3 linked regions of the Arabidopsis thaliana genome follow. The protein of the gene in region 3 interacts with the protein of the main gene of each other region in a pairwise test. Each region holds a gene or a part of one and is shown on either strand. Other genes may lie near its edges.

Region 1 (7,003 bases), on a different chromosome or scaffold from region 3:
GGTTTTGCAACGAGAAATAAAATTTCAAAAACAAAAAGAAAAATGCGGTGAGCGTGGATCGAACACGCGACCTTCAGATCTTCAGTCTGACGCTCTCCCAACTGAGCTATCCCCGCTTGATGACGTTATCTCCTGAACATTAATATATAACATCTAAAACTAACAACAAGAACTTAGAAATCGATTTTACATATTTCTGTGAAATTCCTAGTCAGATTTTCCATCTATGTTGATGTTTTCAAAAAACTTGTTTAAAATTTCATAAAAGATTGTTAATTTGCGAAGTAAAAATACAAATTTGCAAGTTGAGAAGTATTCATATTCCTCATGTATTCAATATTGACTCTCATTGTCTAGCAAAAACTATAAAGTTTCATCATATAGCAACTCTCAATGCTATCAACTTCTAGACCACGATGATTGAACAAGAAAAACAAACTTCCATAAAAGCAGTGATATTAGGGTTTCAATAGTTAATTTGGTCGACATTGAATAAGATATTGGTAAAAATCGTGGCAACATTTTTATAATATAAAATTCTAGATTCCGTTTTGCTATTGTATATGTGCTTTAAGAAGATTGAATCTGAGGAATATGGAAATGGAAGCGATGATTTTCTGAGAGGTCATCCTCAACTTGAGCTTTCGCCAGAAGCAGTGAGAGCGAGACTTAAAGAGTTGGCTTTGGCTTTAAGGAAGGGAGGAGGACAAGCCTTTATAAATAATAAGTACGTAGCTTACTTCTTTTAGGATGATTTTATTGTTGGGTCTATCAACCCAACATCTCAAATGAAGCGACGATGTTCGGTATTATTCCTATGTAACTACTATGTAAGCTTTGTGTGAGGTATCTACAACCATAAACCTAAATCTTCACGAACTTAAATTAATATATAAATGATCTGCACAAGCTCCAAATGCAAAATTATCAATCTCCTGCTTGGAAGAAAAAGCACTTGTGTTTTTCAATATTGACTTTCATTTGTTTGAGAAAACAATCCAGTTGATCCAATAGACAATTTTCAATACTATCAACTTCTAGACCTCGATCTTCATACTATGGAATAAATGTCTTCAGGAAATTATCTTTAAAAGGAGATTTCTCTTGAACAAGAGAAACAAAAATAGTTTTGATTTTTGTTCAATAGAAAAGATCTTTGGAGAATGGAGATGCAAACATCAGTTACAGCCTTACAGGTTTTTAAGTTTTATAAATTCTTACTAGGATTACAAGATTATATTAATACATAAAAAAAATAACAGTTTTATTGGATAACAGTTGTATCTTTTTGTTACAAATATCCTGAAAGATGATTACATTTGTAATACAATCTAGTAAATCGGATCTGGGTCAAGGAAGAAAACCGGGCAAACTGGAACCAGCGAAACCCTAATCGTCAAAAGGAAACCACTGCCTCTTTTTTTTTTTTTTTTTTTTTTTTTTTTTTTTTTTTTTGTGAGGTTACAATTACAACAATAGAAGATCAGATAGACCTTCTTTCTGCCTCTTATTTTTTTTTTTCAATTTTCCAAGGCTAACAAATTGTCAATGAAGAGATAATGTCTCTTTAACTAATGTTTTTAAGCAAATTGCAGATTCTCTCTAACCTTTGAAAAAATTAAGTTCGCTTACGAAAATGACTTCTGAAAATCTCAAAAATTTAAGAACAATCATGAAATGTAGGAATTGAAAAAGGGATTTGATGAATTAATCGAAACATCAAAATCATCAAAAAGACAACAAAGAAACAAAAAGAGAAAAACAATTGCATGAAAAAAAGAAGAGGTGAACATAGGCCTCAATAGAAAACAGAAAACTGAAAAACACAAAGGGACATAGATAAATTACTACTCTCCTCTTGATCTTTTTTTCTTGGGCAACCACCTTATCATCCCGATATCCTCATCATCTTCAGGCACCATGACTTTGTTTTTCCCCTTTGAGATGAGACTTTTTGAGTGACTAGAGCCCGAACCATGCTCTTGTAAAGCAAAAAAATCATAACAAAGATCGGTGGTTGGATAAGCAGGAACATGTATATTGCTTGAATCAACCTGGTTTCCAGCAACCAAACTGTATCTAGGCACACAAGGACCCACGGGAGTCATTAGATTCCCATGGAACGATGAGTTAGTGTTGTTATTAGTGCTATTGTTGCTGCCTCCTGTGGACTTGGATGGACCAAGAGTTAGATCAAGATTAATACCATCAGTTGATAAAGCATGTGAGCTACCACCTTGGCCATACTTACAAGGGCCAACAGGAAGCCTTTGCAAGGTGAAAGGAGTACTATCACAAAGCATCGCATCCTCGATTATCTTTCGCTGCTTCTCCAATTCTCGTTCCTTTTTGTGGCACTTCATGTGACCGCCTAGGGCAAAACAGCTTTTGAAATTCCTCTTGCAGAAACGACAGGTGTGGCTGATCTTGTTATCCTTGGGAGGATGTATTAGCACGGTATCTCTTTTCTTTCGGAAAAAACTTAATCTGAAACTAGGCATCTCAAGGTTTGTCCTTTCAGACACAATCTCTTGAGGAGACCTTTGTTTCGGATTGTTTATTGTCTCCTTCTCCTCCACGGCCACAAGGGCACTTTTGAGTTTTTGATCATGTTTGTGTGGGGAGGAGGAGCTTGAAGAAGACATAGATTGGTTGTTCATAATTTGTTTTGTAAAACTTTGCTGACAGTTAGAAGTGAGTGATGTCTTATCTCTTTGCTTAGAGGCGATATTTATTGAGAGGATAGTAATTATTGTATTTAACTCGTTAAGGTATATAATCTCCAAGGGTAACAAATATTAATTGATACCGTAAAACTACTTAATTTTGTTTAAAAGCAATAATTGTTTCTCCAAGACTACAACTGTCATTCACTTTATTCTTTAATTTCTTTCTAGAAAATGATACTTCATAAGATAAAAACACAACAATATAATCAATATTCTTCATATGCGTTACGTATGACTACTATGAGTTATCTATATTCTTAAAAATATGGTTGTTTTTCTAACTATGGTGATTTTATACATTTTGTCTCTTTAATGTCTCTTTAACCTCTTTAACCTTTTGAAAAAATAACGTTTGCTTACGAATAATTGGGCCATGAATTCTGAAAATTGCAGGAATTTTAGAGCAATCATGAGATATAGGAATTGAACAAAAGGGACTGATGAATTAATCGAAACAACAGAGATTATTTGAAACGAAACGAAGAAACAATTGCATGAAAAAAAAAAGAGAGGTGAACATAAGCCTCAATAGAAAACTGAAAAATCAAAGGGACATAGATAAATTACTACTCTGGTCTTGATCTTTTTTTCTTGTTCAACCACCTTATCCTCCCGATAGTAGTATCAGTATAATCATCATCATCATCATCATTTTCAGGCACCACGACTTTGTTTTCCCCCTTTGAGATGAGACTTTTTAAGTGACTAGAGCCCGAACCATTCTCGGGTGAAGGAAACAGAAGATCGGTGGTTCCATTAGGAGGAGCAACAGGAGGCTCCACGGCTTTGTTCTTTTCCATTGAGAAGAGACTTTTCGAGTGACTAGATCCCGAACCATTCTCCTGTAAAGAAAAAAAATCATGATTGTTGTTTCAATAGGGAGGAGCCAAAGGAGGCACCCTGACTTTTTTTCCCACTTTGAGATGAGACTTGAGTGGCCAGTTTCCCGAACCATTCCCTTGTAAAGAAAACAAATCATAACAATAATAGGTGGTTGGATAAGATAAAGCAAAATGACGCACCATGGCTTGGTTCTTTCCCATTGAGAAGAGACTTTTCGAGTGAGTAGAGGCCGAACTATTCCCCTGTAAAAAAAAAAAATCATGACAAACATTGTTGTTTCCATTCGGAGGAATATACCTAGTGTTTGAACCAACCGGGTTTCCAGCAACAAAATTGTTTCTAGGCACACAAGGTAGCACGGGAGTGAACAATTTTCGATAGAACGATGGGTCAGTGTTAGACCAAGAAGATGGGTTAGTGTTAGACCAAGAAGATGGACCAAGAGTGAGATCCAGATTAATATCATTAGTTGAGCTGCTACCGCCATACGCTGGACCAAAGAGGCCGAAAGAGGGCACTGGAAAGCTTTGGAAAGGCGGAAGAGAAGTACCACCAGAAAGCACCGAGTCGAGATTTTTATCCTTTGGAGGATATTTTAGCTCGTTATCTCTTTCCGTTCGGACAACTTCTAATGTGAAAACAGGCAACTCAGGGTCAGGGATCGTGTTTTCAAACACAACCTCTTGAGGGGGCCTTTGTTCCGGATTGTTCATTGTCTCCTTCTCTTCCACGGTCACAACGGCACTTTTGAGTTTTTGATCAGGTTTTTTTGGGGTGGTGGAGGAGCTTGAAGAAGACACAGATTGGTTCTCCATTTTTTTTGTAAAACTTTGATGAGAATTAGAAGTGAGTGATTTCTTCTCTCCGGAGACGTATGGTATATATTGAGAGATTTAATTACTGTGTTGCACTCGCTAAGGTATAAAATCTCCAAGAGCAAATAGCATTAATTGTAACAGTAAATCTACTTTGAATTCATTGTTTTTTGTTTAAAAGAAATAGTTGTGCCTCTTAACAATCTTGACTTTTTTTTTTCTTTCTTAAATATACACCAATTTAATTAATATATTTCAAATTTGACTAGATTTTGTTTATATGAAGTTATGTGTTATATAACTACTATGAATAATTATCCATAGTTTTAAAAGTTATGGTTGTTTTTCTAACCATGTTGATTTATACATTGTCTTCCAAATTAAAATTTGGTGTGCATTATGTACCAACTGGCTTTGTATAATCTAATATTTATTTACTCATGATTTCAAGTACGTGTGTCTCTAGTTATCTTGACTTTGTTCTTTCTGTTTTCTAAAATGATACTTCATATGTTAAAAATACACCAATTTAATTAATATATTTCAAATTTGACTAGATTTTGTTTACATGATGTGTTATATATAACTCCAATGAAAGATAGAAAATATGGTTGTTTTTCTAACCATGGTGATCTTATACATTTTGTCTTCCAAAATAATAATTTTGTGTGCATACCAACTGGCTTTGTATAATCTAAAATTTATCTACTTAGCTAAAATATATCTATAATTGTTATAGTATACGTCATTATGTGTAAAAGTAAATTAAAAAAAACACTAACTCATTTCAATTTTTTTAAAAATGTTACGCTTCAGTTCGTTATATCGACCGTTGCAAACTGGTAACTTCATGTTATTTCATATAGCAATTAATATGTAAAAAATATTAATTGATATGTAAAAAAATGTATTAATAAGCTAAGTAATACAAGATTATATTTTCTATTATATGGAATGATGTTATTTTTCACTTATTTTCTCTAATATATATATATATGATAATTGCAAATACAAAGAAAGGGAAACACACCATTGTATATAGAATGTTAAATTTTGAGTCATTGTACATACAAACTCCAGCTATGTCTTAGTCAGCTTTACTACTTATTCTTGTTTTTTCTTATCCTGACTTAATGATAGATAGAAATTGTGTTTTGTTTCCTTAATTATGTTGTTTTCAGTTTCTTACTTTCTATGTTTTCTTTTGTTTATTTTCCTTTTTATTTACTTTCGATATACTTACTAATTACTAGGAAATACCCAAAATGAATACAATTTTAAATACTGATGGTGCATGAACTTTACAGAATACCAGTTTTGATATTCTTAAAAATGCATTTTCAGTCATATATATTTAGATGATATAACATGAATAGTTGACTATAAGTCTATAACGCCACATTTTTCTTTAATTAGTCTATGAAACTATTGGACAAATATATTTTCAACATACATTATTTATCCATAACGAATGACTTATCACCAGTTCACCACACATAATACGGTTTACTAGCTAGGTATTTATCCATTGTAAAAACGACTTTAAAGTTTTATTTGCACAAAACAATTTTTTAATAATTAATGTTCCATCATATTTTATATGAGACATCTCACAAACCCAAATCAAAATAACGCTGGGAAATGTAACCCTAGGCCATGAAGTGAAATCCATTCATTTCTAGATACAGACGATAGTCGTTGCAAGGATAGAGAACCCGAAATTTTCAATTCTGCATCACTCAGATACTTTCCGAAATATTTAAAATTCCAGTTTTGCAAATCTTTTGTTACCCAATTTTTCTAAGTATGTTAACCTTCTCTTCTTTTTTTTTAAACAAAACCTTCTCTTATCACAAACTGGAAACTGTAAGTTGTGAGTAGGACAACCTTTTATTATACAAGACTCTAGATTATATTCCATTTTTCTAAATATGGTTTCTTAAATTACATATTATGTATATAGGTTCAATAACTAGACGATATTCATTAACATTGATATATATAAAAAAGATAATTATCTTTTTGGTTAAAAAATCCTGAAAGATGATGACATGTGTTAAACAAATTTGGGAGATTACAACACTAATAATAAGATCGGAAAGACTAATATATTATAAGTTGAATAGATATAATGTCTCGTTAACAAAGGATTTCAAGCAAAACTCAGAATCTCTTTAAATTATGAAAGATCAAATTCGCTTACAAATAATTAGACCAGAAACTTGCAGAAATCTTTACAAAAATCATGAGATTTAGGCATTGAAAAATAAAAGGCTTCATGAAGTAATCAAAGATTGACAAATAGGAAAAGAGAACATTTATAAGACAAGAAGGAAACAAAAAGAGAAAAAAAAAAACAATTGAATGAAAAAAATGAGAACAAAAACTTCAATAGCTATAAGATACCTCTAAACTGAAAGCGAAATACTAAATAATGCATAGAAAACTGAAAAAAAACAAAAAACAAAGATACATTGATAATAATCACGACCCCAATATTCTTCTAGCTGATGTTTATCATCATCTTCAGGCACCCATGACTTTGTTCTTTCCCATTTGAGATGAGACTTTATGAGTGACTAGAGCCCGAACCATTCTCTTGTAAAGAAAACGAAT
Region 2 (8,409 bases), 460 kb from region 3:
CAAAATCTAATTTGCTCTGCATCTTCAAAAGCTTAAGCTTGATTCGGTTGGATCTTTTTATTAATAGGTATAAAGAGATGGAGCCGTGCATCACTCCTCTTCCAGATGTTAACGACACAAACAAGACCGTTCTCAAAAACTGGCCTGAGAGACTAAACCATGTGCCTCGAATGAAAACCGGGTCGATACAGGGAACAACTATTGCCGGCTTCAAAGCTGACACGAACCTGTGGCAAAGAAGAGTTTTGTACTATGACACCAAGTTTAAGTTTCTCAGCAATGGAAAATACAGAAACGTCATTGATATGAACGCAGGATTAGGTGGTTTTGCTGCAGCTTTGATCAAATATCCAATGTGGGTTATGAATGTGGTTCCATTTGATCTTAAACCGAACACACTCGGTGTTGTGTATGATCGCGGTCTCATTGGAACTTACATGAACTGGTAAATCACTCAAAACGTCTCTGATATCATCTAATTTGACATCTCTTATACCATATTTTCCGGTTTTTGTAGGTGTGAAGCTTTATCTACATACCCTCGAACCTATGACCTGATTCATGCCAATGGTGTATTCAGTTTGTACTTGGACAAGTAAGATCCGTCCCTAACTTGAAAACTTTGATTTACATTCATTTGGTGATCAAAGTGTAATGGTTTCTTTTTCTTTGTTTCTTATGATAGATGTGACATTGTTGATATACTCTTGGAGATGCAGAGGATTCTTAGACCAGAAGGAGCAGTTATAATACGAGACCGTTTTGATGTTCTTGTCAAAGTGAAAGCCATAACCAATCAAATGAGATGGAATGGGACAATGTATCCAGAAGATAATAGTGTTTTCGATCATGGAACAATACTAATCGTAGATAACTCAATTAAATAAAACTCTTTTTGGTATCACACACTACTACAAAAAATTTGGAAACTTTTGAGAGAGTTGTTGGTTTGGGTTTAAATTGGACAATTACAAAAATTAAGAGGTGCATTTAGATATTTTGAAAACTTTAATGGACCTCATAAATATTTAATAACAAACATGTAACGACGTTATTGTGACGGTGGCGTTAAGTCGTTAACTGCGTCTGATCTACTCGTAGCTTCTTCGTTCTTCAGCATTTGATCGGAGTAGGTAAAGTTGTGGATCTCTTTGTTTCTTGCTAATTCAAATTGATTAAGGTTCCTGGGTTTGATCGGCTCTAGCTAGGGGTTTATGGTACTCGTTATATAATTCACTGAATTTAGGGTTCAAGGGTTCTGATTGATCTGCAGTGACCTTTTTGATTGACAGATGGAAGCTCTGTCTTCTCTTACGTTCAAGGGTTCTCTTCCAGAAGCCATATTTGAAGCCAAAGGGAAGAAGAAGCTTTTTGTTGTCTACATTTCTGGTAAATTAATGGAATTTTATTTCTCTCTTGTTGGAATTCGAATATGAGTGGGATAGTGTTAGGAGATTTGTTTCTCCTGTAGTATCTCATCTGAATACGATTTCTGATCATACAAGAATATGGCCTTTTAAGAAAAAGTTTCAACATTGAAGAGAGCCATAATCATATTGTGAGCTCAATCTCAAAAAATTTAAATTTGTTTCCAAATTTTAGGAGAGGATGAAGAGTCGGATAAGTTGAACAGATTGACTTGGACTGATGCATCGGTAGGTTTCTCTTGTTTTTATACTTTTCATTCTCTTCCTCTATTGTTGAAAATGCAAACAAGGCTATTTTTCACTCATATCATTATCGTATGTTTCCTTATAAAGGTGGCAGATTCGTTGTCGAAGTATTGTATTTTAGTGCATATCCAAGCTGGAAGTGTTGACGCCACAAACTTCTCTGCAATATGTATCCTTTCTTTTTATCAGAGAACTTAAGATAGCTGATCTAGTCGAAAGCTGTTTCTATGGATTTTATAGAGAATGCTTCGTTTCAACAGACTTTCTATAGAATCTGTCTTGTAGGCTTGTAATAAGTTTTAACTCACGTGTGAATGCAATAGGGATCTTTACATCAGTTTCTAGACCCATATTCATCTGTTCCTTGTATAGCTGCCATTGGATTCAGTGGTACACAAGTTTGGAGAACCGGTAAGACCATATGTACTTTAGATTTTAAGTATTTACACGTTATAGTCAAGCAAACGTACTCAAGTTTGTTTTCTATCCCTTTCTATCTTTCAGAAGGATTTATCACTGCTGAAGACCTTGCATCCAGTTTAGAGAAAGCGTGGTTAGGACTTCATATCCAGGTACGTGATAGCTGCTTTCTCACTTATGGTGGTGTTCGTCCTTCTATACATTTTCAGTTGACTTTTCTCATTTTCAGGAAACAACTGCAAGTATCTTTTCAGCAGCACTTGCATCACAGAACTCAGAGACACCTGTTTCTAGTGCTTCGAGTGTTGTCTTGCCTCCCGGAAGTGTTCCTTTAGATGCAGCGGTTGCATCTCCATCGACGGCTTCTAGTGTTCAACCCTCAGAGACAAAGTCAACGGTAACATCTGCATCAACAACAGAAAACAATGATGGCACAGTTGCAGTTAAGGTTGTCCCTGGAGCTGAAATCATTTCCACATTACTTTAGTTTGTTGTTTTGCTTACATGATGCAGCCTTTTTTTAAAACAGGGCAAAGAATCTGCTGAACCCAGTAATTTGTGTGATACTACTAAAAACCAGCCAGCACCCTCTGTTGATGGAACTAAGGCCAATGTTGAACATGAAGCGACAGAGACCCCTTTGCGTGTTCAGGCAGAAAAGGAGCCAATTCGTCCTACAGCCCCAGGAACAAATGATAATACATCCAGGGTTCGATCTTCTGTTGATAGAAAAAGGAAACAGGGAACTGTGATAAATGAAGAGGATAGTGGTGTAGGTGTTAGTGGAAGGGACATTAATCTAACAAAATCTGTCGATACAAAAGAGACCATGAAGCCAAAGGATGAAGGAGGAGAGGAAGAGGATGGAGAAAAATCCAAAAAAGCATCTGACGTTCATTTAAACATTCGATTACCTGATGGTAGTAGCCTTCAGGAGAAGTTTTCTGTGACAAGTATATTGAGAATGGTCAAGGATTATGTGAACAGTAATCAAACAATCGGACTGGGTGCTTATGATCTTGCGGTTCCTTACCCACGTAAGGTGTATACTGACCAAGGTACGTAAAATCTACAATGCATCCAATAGATTTTTATTTTTATTTGGTAAAGAACATTTTACCTTAAAACCAGCTTCATCTTGATCGAAGATGATGTTTTCTGCCATTTAGGTTTTTTTTTTTTTTTTTTCTGGTCAGTTTGGACTAGTGTAGTAGATACATAACTCCATTACTCTTAATCTCTGCAGATCTGGATAAGTCTCTATCCGAGTTGAGATTGTTCGATAGACAAGCACTTGTAGTAGTTCCGCGAAAAAGAGCAACCGTCTATCAAAGAGGAACATCTTACTCGGAGTCTAACAACAACACAGACCCTAATAGTGGCGGTTACTTTGCTTATGTTAGAAGAGTACTGTCTTATGCAAACCCGTTTTCATATTTTGGCGGTGGTACTGCCAACGCATCAAGCTCTGTTCCAGAACGTCAAACAAGTATGCGGGAATATGATGAGTTTATAAAATCCATTCTAATGCAGAAAGTCGTGTAATTGCTAATCTGATTCTCTCTTTTTCTATCTATAGGACCAAATACGGAGGTGAGAAACAATCTGGGGCAAGTAGGGACGTCCTTTCAAGATCCATCAGAAGGTAGGAGCAACGTTAGGAATAGGAGACCAACCACTTCTCGGATTGGAAGTAACATCCATACGTTGAATCACAATGAAGATGAGGCTCCGTTTGGTGATGGAAACGCTTTTTGGAACGGAAACTCCACACAGTACGGTGGTGGAAGCGGTGGAGACAGTAATGATAGACGATGAAATAAGAGAAGTTGAAATCTGTGTGGATAGATACAGAAACAGCTCGGGTGTTTACTTTTTATACTTGACTCTTTATGAACCATTTAAGAGACCAGCTGCAAAATGTATCCTGATGCGTTTCCGTTTTTTCGGTTGCTCGTATTAAATTTAAATCTAAAAAAACTAGCAATTTCTGTTTGATTAAATTCGGTTCTAGAAATTAATTAGTGTCGTTTGATTAACTTCGGTTCCAATCATAACAAAAATATTAGAGTTAAATGGTTGCTTAAATATAAGAATCTGTATATTCTTTTCTATGCAAGTGAAGACTTCATTGAACTGTGAAAAGGCGTTCACTGACAGCTTCTTGTTCTCCTAGCGGTTTCCCTTGTGCTCATCCTCACACCTTCCAAAATATTATCAACTCGGATAACAAAACATATATATGTGATCAACCAGACAATTTTTTAATATATATTTCTATAGTCAACGATGAGTACGCATTTTAATAATCCGGTGAAAGATTAGTCGGACTAACTAAATAATTTTTTTGACATATAATAAACACTTGGACCCCCCAAATTGAGCCTTAAGAAAAGACTAAACCAGTTCTATTAGTTGCGTACAACTAACGATGATCAACTTGAGTGATTTATATCGGAGATCGTGGGTAGTGATACGGGTCAACAATATAAGGATTTAGAGATCAATTAGGAATTGAAGTTAAACCTTTTCAATTTTCTTAAAGTTCCCTGATCCTTATTCATTCATCGTATCCACAACCATTCTTAACATTGCCCATGGCTAAGACGCTGGACCTCTTTTGGCACGAACATCCTTTATATGAAAAATATCGTATGTTCACTTGCCAAGAGTGCCATAGGAGTGCTATACCCTTCTTTGAAGTTTTTTATGGATGCTTCAGATGCAATATAAAATGGCATCCCTATTGCGTGCCAAGGTCAACGAAGAATATTAACCACCCTTGTCACCCGAACCATCCCCTAGAGGTTCTCCTCCAAGGGCCACCTAGTTACTCTGACGAGAAGTGCAGCCTCTGTCAACGGAAACTCTCCAACTTCGTTTACCATTGTAAGTTATGCAATTTCAGCATAGATATGGAATGCGGAAACAGGCCCCCGCCCCACAAAGTGGATCATCCAAAGTGCCACGAGCATGCACTCACCCTCATGGGAAGGGAAGTATCCTTCACTTGCAATGCTTGTGGTACGCATGGTGAACGGAACCCTTATGTATGCCTACCATGCTCTGTCATGTTTCATTATGATTGTATTGATCTACCACACGTCATCAACATCAATCGTCATGATCATCGCATTTCACATTCATATCCTCTCAAACGTGGGAATTGGGTATGTGAAATCTGTCGTCAAGATATCAACACCACGTACGGAGGCTATTCATGCAACAAATGTCCAGATTTTTTTGTTCATTCAAAATGTGCAACTAGAAAAGACGTGTGGGATGGGACCGAACTCGAAGGGATACCTGAGGAAGTAGTAGACGTTGCGCCATTTGAAGTGATCGAGGAAGGGGTAATTTATCATTTCTCCCACGAGAAACATAACTTATTCCTTATTGAGGATGTTTTTATAGATGGTGCTGAAGACATGCATTGTGAAGCTTGCGCCCGTCCAGTCTCTTCTGAGAAGCACTACAAGTGCGTGGAATGCAAGTTTATTCTTCACGAAGAGTGTGCGAATCTTCCTCTTACGAAACGACATGGACTTTCCACAGGTATATTTTATCTTCGCTTCGGGAAGGATTTTAGCGAACAAAATTTCAGTTGTGATGCTTGCAATAGAGATGGAAGGGGTTTTAGCTACAAGGATGAAGAGGGTGTGGTACTCGATGTGTTGTGTGCGTCTCTCTCTTTCTTCAAGCACCCCAAACTTCATCCTCACACGTTATTTCTAACCACAATAGATCGTGGTACTTGCTTAGCTTGCGGTGAGAATAAACTCAATGTGCTGCGTTGTGTTGATTGTGATTATTCTTTGGATTACAAATGCGCCACTCTACCATTAGTCATAAAGCATAGGTGTGATACACATTATTTAGTTTTGCGCTCTGGGGAGGAGGCGCCTGAAGGTAAATATTGGTGTGAAATCTGTGAAGCCGAAACCAATCCTGAAAGATGGTTCTATACATGCGATGATTGTGGGGTCGTGTGCCATATTGAATGCGTAACCGGGGACTTTTTGAACATAAAACCTGGAATAATAATGAAGAACAGGGAGAATAAGTTTGAAGTGGGTTTCAACGATCACGATTCTAGACCAAAATGCACTGATTGTGGCTCTCGTTGTAGGTTCCCTAGGTTTTTCAAGGTTACTAGAAAAAATATTGAGTACTACTATTGCTCAAAAGCTTGTTTTCAGAATGCGAAATTCTGAATGCCTGAAGGAAGGCGAAAGGAAGGATTTGGAAACATAAAAAGAATATGGGTTTTTACAGATGGAGGCTGTGTAATGTTTTTCAATTATTTTCAGATAAACTTGTTTTCTATATTTGGATTTATTGTTGGTTTGCTCATTCAGTTCATAAAACTATTTATGAGAAAGAGAGAAAGAGAGAGAGAGAGACTTTGAAGGTAATTATTCTTCACACCTTTTATTATAATTCACCAAAATTGGGATGTTTGTTCTATTCTTGATCACACGCCTCTCTGTCGCTTCCTTTTGACGTTTTCTTTCTTTTCTTAGCTTTTTCTTTTATCTTTTGTGTTTTCTGTCTTTTCTTTTCCGTAGTTATTTGGGATTCCAAATTTTTTTCATTCCTAAATTTCTCCACGAGCTCATCACCTCCTTTCGTCTCTGCCTCTCATTTGTCTACAAACATTTTTTCCTTTTGATTCGTCTCTCTGGTTTATTGCTCGTTGATCGTTTGTTTCTAAATTGCATTCTGATTTCTGATGGATCGTGATTTTCATCGTCGTGGTCAAGTGGTAAGCATTACACGCAAACACAGCTTTGATCATTAAAAATGTCATCTTATTTAAATCATGTCTTGAGATCACGTAATGGTCTTAGGTCAATCAAGATCAACGCGCAACAAATTCTAATGTTTTTACAAAATTTGAAAATACTTATCTACAAATGTATTTATAAAGAAACCTAATTTGCCTTTGTGTTGATCATGATAGACAATTGTTGTTATTAGCCTGTTGATTTGAAGGCAGAGTCCTCTGTTTTCCTGCAACATGTTAGAACAGCTCATTTATGTGTTTTGGTGAAAACGCAGGCGAATGATCGTACACAAAGCAACTTTGTTCGATTGGATAAACCGAGAGCTGTAGACGATCTTGATATAGGCAAGAGAGGGAAGATGCGTAGGTGGTTGTGCTGTTCTTGTCGTGTACAAGAATCTTACCCATCAGCTGAAAATAACCGATTGAAAACCCCTCCTACTCGCCATTACGACTATGGTATCGCTCTTTCTTCACCTTACTTGTGATTGAAGTAACCTATCAAATTTTATTCTTGGCCTCTTTTAGTTGCATTCCAAATGTGCTTTTGGTCCATTCCTAACCTTTCAATATCTTTTGCTTGTGTAGGACGTAACAACAAGAAAACACCAGCTCCTGTGAAGCCTCCTGTTTTGAAGGAGCCTCCGCCTATTGATGTCCCCGCAATGTCATTGGTTGAGCTCAAAGAAAAGACTCAGAATTTTGGATCAAAGGCATTGATTGGAGAAGGATCCTATGGAAGAGTGTACTACGCAAACTTTAATGATGGGAAGGCCGTGGCTGTGAAAAAGCTTGATAATGCATCTGAACCCGAAACAAATGTCGAGTTCTTGACTCAGGTCTCTAAAGTTTCGAGGCTGAAAAGTGACAATTTTGTTCAGCTTCTTGGTTATTGTGTAGAAGGGAACCTTCGTGTCCTTGCTTATGAGTTTGCCACAATGAGATCATTGCACGACATCTTACACGGTAAGAAAGATTTCTTTCTGCTCAAACATCAATATGGCTTAGGATGGAGATTGATAAACTTGATGCTAAACAGGGAGAAAGGGAGTGCAAGGAGCACAACCTGGTCCAACACTTGAGTGGATGCAACGAGTCCGAGTTGCGGTTGATGCAGCTAAAGGATTAGAATACTTACACGAGAAAGTTCAACCTGCGGTTATACACAGAGATATTCGATCTAGCAATGTGCTTATTTTCGAAGATTTCAAAGCCAAGATTGCTGACTTTAATCTTTCCAATCAAGCTCCTGATATGGCTGCTCGTCTTCATTCCACTAGAGTTTTGGGGACCTTCGGTTATCATGCACCAGAGTAAATATGCTTCAACATTGATAGCTCGGAATTTTCTTGATTCTTAGTAACTGAAAGAATGTAACTTTGGGTTTGCAGATATGCGATGACAGGACAGTTGACACAGAAGAGTGATGTTTACAGTTTTGGAGTTGTGCTTTTGGAACTTCTTACCGGGAGAAAACCGGTTGATCATACTATGCCTCGTGGTCAACAGAGTCTTGTCACTTGGGTACTT
Region 3 (7,586 bases):
ATAAGTATTACTTAAGATATCATGGTTGACAAAAAAATGATATAAATATATGTGTAATTGACTCATTTCCCATGCACGAGGGTTCAAATATTAATATATAAAAATCATATTATAAAAAGAAAGCAAATTGACAATAGGGCCGGAGACATATCACATAATCTAGAGAAAGTTCCCCACATACATTGTTAAACCATCATCTGAAAAGATGCTCTCATAATACACACACACATATATGTATAGGAATATTCATAAATGGTGGTCCATTTAAAAGAAACAAGACCCATATCAGTTTCAGACAATAATGATAATCACAAACCCACCAAAAGCTATAATAATACACATTTCACATTTGTATGTATGTTTATCCTTTTACATTGACTTATATACGGTTGAAATCGAGCCCATTCTCTTCATATGTTGTTGTCACCACCTATAAATTTCTCTTACTCATTCAATCATGTTTTTTTCTTTCTTAATGCTTATTTTCAACTCTCTCCCTTTCATGGTAAATTTTTTTCATATACTTTTTATCAGACTCTCTGACACGTTCTAAAATTAACGACTATGTATAAATGTCAAACAATGACTCATGTAACTAAACAATTTCTTGTATCGAATTTAGAAATATAGGGTCTGTTGATGCCGGTTTGTAGAACATTGGTGGTTAGTTTTGAACTCCTTTGTTTGTTCATATACATAGTTTTGTGTTTTTTATATCCACTAAATCTATTAGAAAGCTATACCTCTTGCCTCTTGGTAAAAAAATAGAGTAGGTTAAACGCAAACTTGTTTTTTCACTACTAGTAAAAAATTTCATCTACTTGTAATGCATAATGTAGATCATCCAAAAAAAAAAAAACTAATAATAGTAATGAAGATCATCACACCGTGAGATATTAATTGATCTTATCATTATTGTATATAAAAGAATTAATCATGAGTTTGGTCATGAGTTCGATGAAGTGATGGAGAGTTAAGAGTAGATTGTTTAAAACTGAAAGAGACCGGTGAGCTCTTCATGTTGTTTTTAACTCCACTTGCATTTGTTCTATAGCTTTTAATTTTGGGGTTCCTCTCATTCTTATTTTCTGTTTTCTTCTACTTAAAATAAAATATCTTTCACCATTTATTTTCTATATTACTTTGAAGTTCGGTCCTTGTATATAGCTGAACATTGTGAGGTCACATATAACGAAAAGGACAAGATATGCTTGTCCCTCAAAATCTAGACTCTTTTTTCTCATCTTTCATATTTATTATCTTTATTATTTATTACTGGCCCAAACATTTCATCATATTTCTTTTCAGAAAAATAAACAAGGAGGGAATTTGCATACATATGTGTATATAAGAGTGGAGGAGTTGAATCCAAGAAATGGATGTGAGGGCAAGAAAGTGAGAGATATGGTCCCCTCAACAAAAGCCATTAAATCTCTGAGCATATGACTGTGACTTTAATGGCAAAGCAAAGAGGTTTGCAATTGCATGATTCAATGAAGAGTTGCTGTTAGGGTTTGGGAGATTTGTGGGCTTTTAAGTGCATGTTTTTTTGTGGGGTTCAAGTGCCATTCATGGGACCCAATTACATTTTTTTTAGATTTGTTTTACTTTTCTTTGTAACCATGTTTTTAGATATGCATTTACAATATGTTTTTTTTTTCTTCCCTTTTTTATGAGATTTAAAAGTATTATATTATGACACAAGTATGTTACACTGGTTAGGACTTAGCTTTAGACAAAAAAAAATCAGAGTCCGAGATTTTATATAGATTTCGTCTTTTTAATCAAAAAAGTTCTGATATATAACCTAAAAAGACTACGTAGTATGATCTAAGAGATTTGACAAAATTTGGTTGTAGAAAGTCCGATATTAAGCATTCTCATCAATTTCCCTTAAATATTTTTCTAAAATATTAGAGGAATACAAAAAAACATTCTCATTAACTATATAATTTTAATAACAGTTAAAACTTTCATATTTGCATGCCAAGGCTCTCTGATGAGTTTAAATGTTAAATCGCATGTGTAGGTTTAAACAGAGTTTATTGTTTGTGGAAAAATAAAAGAGACGTGGACTCGTCATGTGAAGTCCAAAATCTGCAAAATTATGTATGTAAATTAATGTACTTTGGGACCAGCATTCGTATGGACATTATTACCATAGTTGAATTTACTTCCCTTTCTTACAATAAGCTTTTGATTACTCATATATACCTCACACATGTTATGTGAATCGGTAAATTCATACTATATGTGAGGAAGTCACTTACAACAGTTGGATTTTAAAGGGAATCCGTCTGAAAAAAATTTGGAGAAAAAAAGAAATTGTTTTGCTTACATAATTTAATTTAAAAATTATAAATAACAATACTTTTATAAGAGAATAGTTTATCTGTTGACCAAAAAAAAAGGAATAGTTTATCTATCCACAAATGGATGATCCATATTGGAGTATATAGAACGATAAGAGATGATTCGATACGTACTAAATGAAAACTTTGAATACTGTGTATAGTAAGCAATCAGCATTAGTTTACAAGATCTTAGTTTTCGTAGGATTAGTTTAGACTGTTTAGTAATTTGATTCCAACCATTGTACAGGAGAAAATTTTTACCGCTCAAAACAACTAACTGAACGTCATACTTAATTGGGAATTTGGGAGTCGTCAAAGAAATGAAAAAGGTCAGATTAATTTATGGATTAATGAGTTTTATAGTCCTTATTCCAGCTTGACATTAGCAACATATACATTATTTGTGTGACATAATCAGGGAATATATATAATCAAAATTAATGGGATTTAAAATTTAATTATTCTTACAAAATATCAAAAAATTTAGTGTAGACGAACAAAAAGAGAATACATATATATATATAGTTCATTTGAAGAAGACGTGTATATGATCGATCCGAGTTGATAAGTATTAACAGATTACATACATATTGATAAGATGATGTGATCTCATCGATTAAGGTTCAATCTTTTAAATTGGTTAACTATCTGGTGATGACATGTCAACTAGTCGATTATGAGCATCATTAATGATCATGAACATGGACCACCTCTCTCTCTCTGTAAGATTATCTTTGCATCAAAGAGACAAAACATCCAAGAGACTAAAAGTATGGTCCTTGAGAGAGAAGAAGTCTCTTTAATTAGGTCTTTCTATTTCTCTCTCTCTCTATTAGTAGTAAAATCCATGTACTTATACGTAGACATAATAACCAAATAGGTCCGTGATGTTAAAGAGTACACACCTAACTTCACCTTGCTAATGATCTCTTACCTACAAACTCTCACTGTTTTTAGTTCATCTCATTACTCACTGTGACCCCATTTCATCTGCTTACGACCAATTTGGTAAGCTTTTTGTCTTAGTTTCAACATTTGCAGGAATCACTTTAAGAAACAACTAACTAAAAAGGAGATAACTTTGAAAAAGGAGGATTGATGGGTTTGTTTTTGATGAGATGGATATTTGTATATGTATGTCTAATGAGAGATATATTGCGTAGGGGAAGTGAATGTAGATTAGAGGTCTCCCTATATATTGATTGATTTTATCCGGCTATTTTTACCTACCGCGACACACGGTATAGATTCATAGTAAGCTACAATTTAAACACAAGATAAATCTGTAATCATATAGTATAGTACTATGCTTCCATATATACCCCATATTTACGTCTCCTATGCTTCCATACGCTAATTAGTTTTTTTTTTTTTCCAACCATAATTGCAGGTTTATATAAACATGAACTAACGAAAAAAATAAAATATAAACATGCACCATGGAGTCAATTTTAAAATTCTATGAGGTTTGATTTTCAAAAGGAAAAATCTAATATACTAATGAAAAAATTGAGATCATAAAAAAACTAATGAAGAAGTAGATTTATTTATTTTGAAAAATATGTACAAGTGAAATGTGGATCATTCTTTAGCTATATATATATAGGTGGATAAACGTAAAATCACGCACGCGGCCATGCTGCAGGGGTTAAATAGCAATTATGTATTTACCTTAAAAAGAATTTGGGAACCTCTCTTTAAATTAATGCAAAACCTCATCTCTTGTCTTTCTGTCTCTGAAACAGTCAACCTCATTCTTCTCAAACTCACTCTCCCTGATCTCTCTCTTCCATGGACGAAACCAACGGACGAAGAGAAACTCACGATTTCATGAACGTCAACGTTGAATCCTTCTCTCAGCTTCCTTTCATCCGCCGTACTCCTCCCAAAGAAAAAGCCGCCATTATTCGTCTCTTCGGCCAAGAGCTCGTCGGTGATAACTCCGACAACTTATCCGCAGAACCTTCTGATCATCAAACCACTACCAAGAACGATGAGAGCTCTGAGAATATCAAGGACAAAGACAAAGAAAAAGATAAGGACAAAGACAAAGATAACAACAACAACAGGAGATTCGAGTGTCACTACTGCTTCAGAAACTTCCCAACTTCTCAAGCCCTAGGTGGACATCAAAACGCTCACAAACGTGAACGTCAACACGCCAAACGCGGTTCCATGACATCATACCTTCATCATCATCAGCCTCATGACCCTCACCACATCTACGGCTTCCTCAACAACCACCACCACCGTCACTATCCGTCTTGGACGACGGAAGCTAGATCATACTACGGCGGAGGGGGACATCAAACGCCGTCGTACTACTCAAGGAATACTCTTGCTCCTCCTTCTTCTAACCCACCGACAATCAACGGAAGTCCTTTAGGTTTGTGGCGTGTACCGCCTTCCACGTCAACAAATACTATTCAAGGCGTTTACTCATCTTCACCAGCTTCAGCGTTTAGGTCGCATGAGCAAGAGACTAATAAGGAGCCTAATAACTGGCCGTACAGATTGATGAAACCCAATGTGCAAGATCATGTGAGTCTCGATCTTCATCTCTGACTTCTTTTATTTTATTTTTTTATCATCCATCATTGCTGTGATATATGAGACTCGCTGATCGGTGAAGCCAATTCTTTTGAGAGTGTTGGAGACTGAAAAAAAGAAAAAGAAAACGAGAACCGGTTTGGTGTGTAGATCATCTTGAACCTTTTTGAGGTTTTCACATTCTGAGTTTATATTAATAAAGGGAATAATATTTTGGTTAATTAGTAAAATTCGTTCATCCGTTTAATTTCCTCTCACGTGTGTGTGAATGTGAATGATATAATTATCGTTTTTTTTGTTTGATTTCATCTGTTCATTTGTGAGTTCTGTTATGGCTTCCTTCAAGACTCTCTATAACTTTCAGAGAAAGAGGAACATTAATTTAAGGGCCATGGAAGTCACACGTACTTTCTCTCTGTTGTTGCAGTCGAGATATTTAAAGTCTTAACCATTAAAAACCCCAGAAGACTCTTTAGATACAAAATGCTTAGGGTCTCTGTCTAATTAAAACGGTCTTTTACCGAATCAAGAGGCAACGAAGGATGGGTAAATGCAGATGTTGATGATGATTCGGTGACTGTGGGGATCACTGAAGACAATGGACAAGACAAAAGGGGAGAGAGAGAGAGAGAGTTGAGAAGTGAAAGTGGTCCATGATTACAAGTGTAGAGTTAGCCAAAGATAGAGCTTTCACATCTTTCTCAACACACAGAACCTAAAGCTAAAGCCTTTCCTCAAAAGCTTTCTTCTTTAGTTTCTTTTCTAACCTTTTTTTGGGCAGTTCAAAGAGAATCATCAACTACAAGCTGTCTACCATATTTCCTTGTTCATCTCTCTCTCTCTCTCCCCATATACCACAATGCTCAAAATATAATAAGAAAATAAAAATACTGGTTACAAGCCACGGCACATGACCATGTTTCTTCTTATTGCCTCCAGTGAACAGACTTTGAATGAAGTCCATATGCCCCAAGGCCTACAAGAATCACAATCGTATATCTCAGAAGAAGCAATGATATCAATCCTCGTACCTAACATATGACCTTCAATGTCTTAACACTAACCAAACATTAAAGACAACCATATTTATATAGCTACGACTTTCGGCATAGACCAAGATATTCAAATGCTTGACTTTTCCAGTTTTGGCAAGACTTCAATCACATATATATGTGGCATTGCCTCACACTACAAATATACTACAATAAGAACTCAAGATGGTTACAGATATATAAAGCCTATTTGCTTTAGAATTACCAGCTGTGATACTAACCAATATATAAAAGTTAAACGACAGCTAATCTTACTCTATCAAGTCTATAATTCCAAAAGAACAACTTTGGATACTCTTGAGGTAAAAGTATGCAGGTTATAAGTACTGAGATTGAACAGAAGGAATACTTTTCCTTCTCTAGTTATATATGTCGTGAAACGTTGTAGCATGATTGCTAATGTGTACCTAATCAACTAACATTATGCAAGGAGTACGTCTTAATATTATCCTAAAGCTTTCAAACAAATCTCAGCACATTATTGTGATAACAGGTTGCAGAAAGTGACATTGCAAAACTTCTGACCTTAAGTCTTTAGTCGCGGAACAGGACAGTCGCTGTCTATATTACGGGGAAGGACCAAACGGTGCAAACTCAGCCTGTCAATCAAAAGGATGAGAGATAAGGTTTTCTAGACAAGTCTTATGCAACAAACTATTGCAATAAGGATGCATATCAAAATCACATGGGAACAAAAAACCAAACGAAAAAGAAGAAGAAGACATATCTGCCCTCCTTGGAACAGTTATTTGGATACAAACTGCAGAGGTTAAACCAGAGAGCACAGTACCTTTGAGAATTACGTGATGGTTTTATCAAATTATGGAAAATTTAAGGATACTCAGTGAATGAATGCTGTCAAAGAGTTAACATCAAGAGCAGCTATAAAAGGACCCACTAGTTAATGCAATGGAGAAGGAAGCATGTGATGAACAACATGATAAAAGAAGCACATAATAAAGACGTGTGAAGAGCATACACATTATATAACCTTAGGACCACTTTCTCTGCTCTCTTGTTTTTTTTTAGATATGTAAAAGGGACTAGTGGAATTTAAGGAACATCGGCCCACAACCCTAGGAAAGTTGCAACTTGAGGATGATAGTTCGAACAGTACACATCTCAAACCCCTTAAGAAATAAAACTCACTCAATCTCATTTACACAACAGTGCAACCTGCCAAAACGGTCTCATTTTTGTGACCAAAGCTACATATATAAAGTTCCACCGACCCTATAGACCATGTGGTTCAATCCTTGGGAGTTGGGACTATGGCTTCTTACACAACTAATTTTCAACATCTACTTGCTTGCTACCATTGCTACCATCACTCAGAATCTCCGATCTTGTTGTCAGAATTCAAGACAAACATATCAAAAGTCATAGCAATGGATTCATATGAAAAGGTAGCCATTGAGAAGACATGGTTCATGTAGTTCCATGACTGCTTGTAAAATAGATCAGGAGGATATTGTGTAAGCAGTATAATATATTCAAGAATCAAATACCATGGCATTATCAGTAGAGAGGACCTAAAAGACATTATATTTGGTATAACTATGTTGAGAAATTAACATTATAGATGTGGTTCTCAAGAATGTGACTTGGAAAGGTAACCGAGAAAACAAAA

The links. Proteins that work in one complex are often made in the same cells at the same time.
Region 1: the proteins of ZFP8 (region 3) and AT5G54360 interact in a two-hybrid assay, tested with the Arabidopsis thaliana proteins (one large-scale study listed by BioGRID).
Region 2: the proteins of ZFP8 (region 3) and AT2G43220 interact in a two-hybrid assay, tested with the Arabidopsis thaliana proteins (one large-scale study listed by BioGRID).

What each region holds. Positions count from the first base shown.
Region 1 is NC_003076.8:22,067,519-22,074,521, reverse strand, and holds AT5G54360 (C2H2-like zinc finger protein), read right to left. Parts: upstream 2,661-7,003; coding exon 1,848-2,660; downstream 1-1,847. Other genes in the region: AT5G54350 (C2H2-type zinc finger protein), read right to left, coding at 3,602-4,387; AT5G54340 (C2H2 and C2HC zinc fingers superfamily protein), read right to left, coding at 6,957-7,003.
Region 2 is NC_003071.7:17,959,650-17,968,058, forward strand, and holds AT2G43220 (Cysteine/Histidine-rich C1 domain family protein), read left to right. Parts: upstream 1-4,569; 5' UTR 4,570-4,690; coding exon 4,691-6,307; 3' UTR 6,308-6,562; downstream 6,563-8,409. Other genes in the region: AT2G43200 (S-adenosyl-L-methionine-dependent methyltransferases superfamily protein), read left to right, coding at 68-445, 518-595, 686-887; AT2G43210 (Ubiquitin-like superfamily protein), read left to right, coding at 1,293-1,389, 1,603-1,655, 1,761-1,842, 2,019-2,084, 2,178-2,245, 2,323-2,541, 2,623-3,151, 3,340-3,582 and 1 more; AT2G43230 (Protein kinase superfamily protein), read left to right, coding at 6,826-6,858, 6,944-7,011, 7,121-7,338, 7,468-7,845, 7,919-8,192, 8,271-8,403.
Region 3 is NC_003071.7:17,503,411-17,510,996, forward strand, and holds ZFP8 (zinc finger protein 8), read left to right. Parts: upstream 1-3,932; 5' UTR 3,933-4,145; coding exon 4,146-4,919; 3' UTR 4,920-5,206; downstream 5,207-7,586. Other genes in the region: AT2G41945 (uncharacterized protein), read right to left, coding at 6,523-6,555. UniProt on the Arabidopsis thaliana protein: Probable transcription factor required for the initiation of inflorescence trichomes in response to gibberellin and cytokinin. Is not involved in the regulation of trichome branching. Is functionally equivalent to GIS2.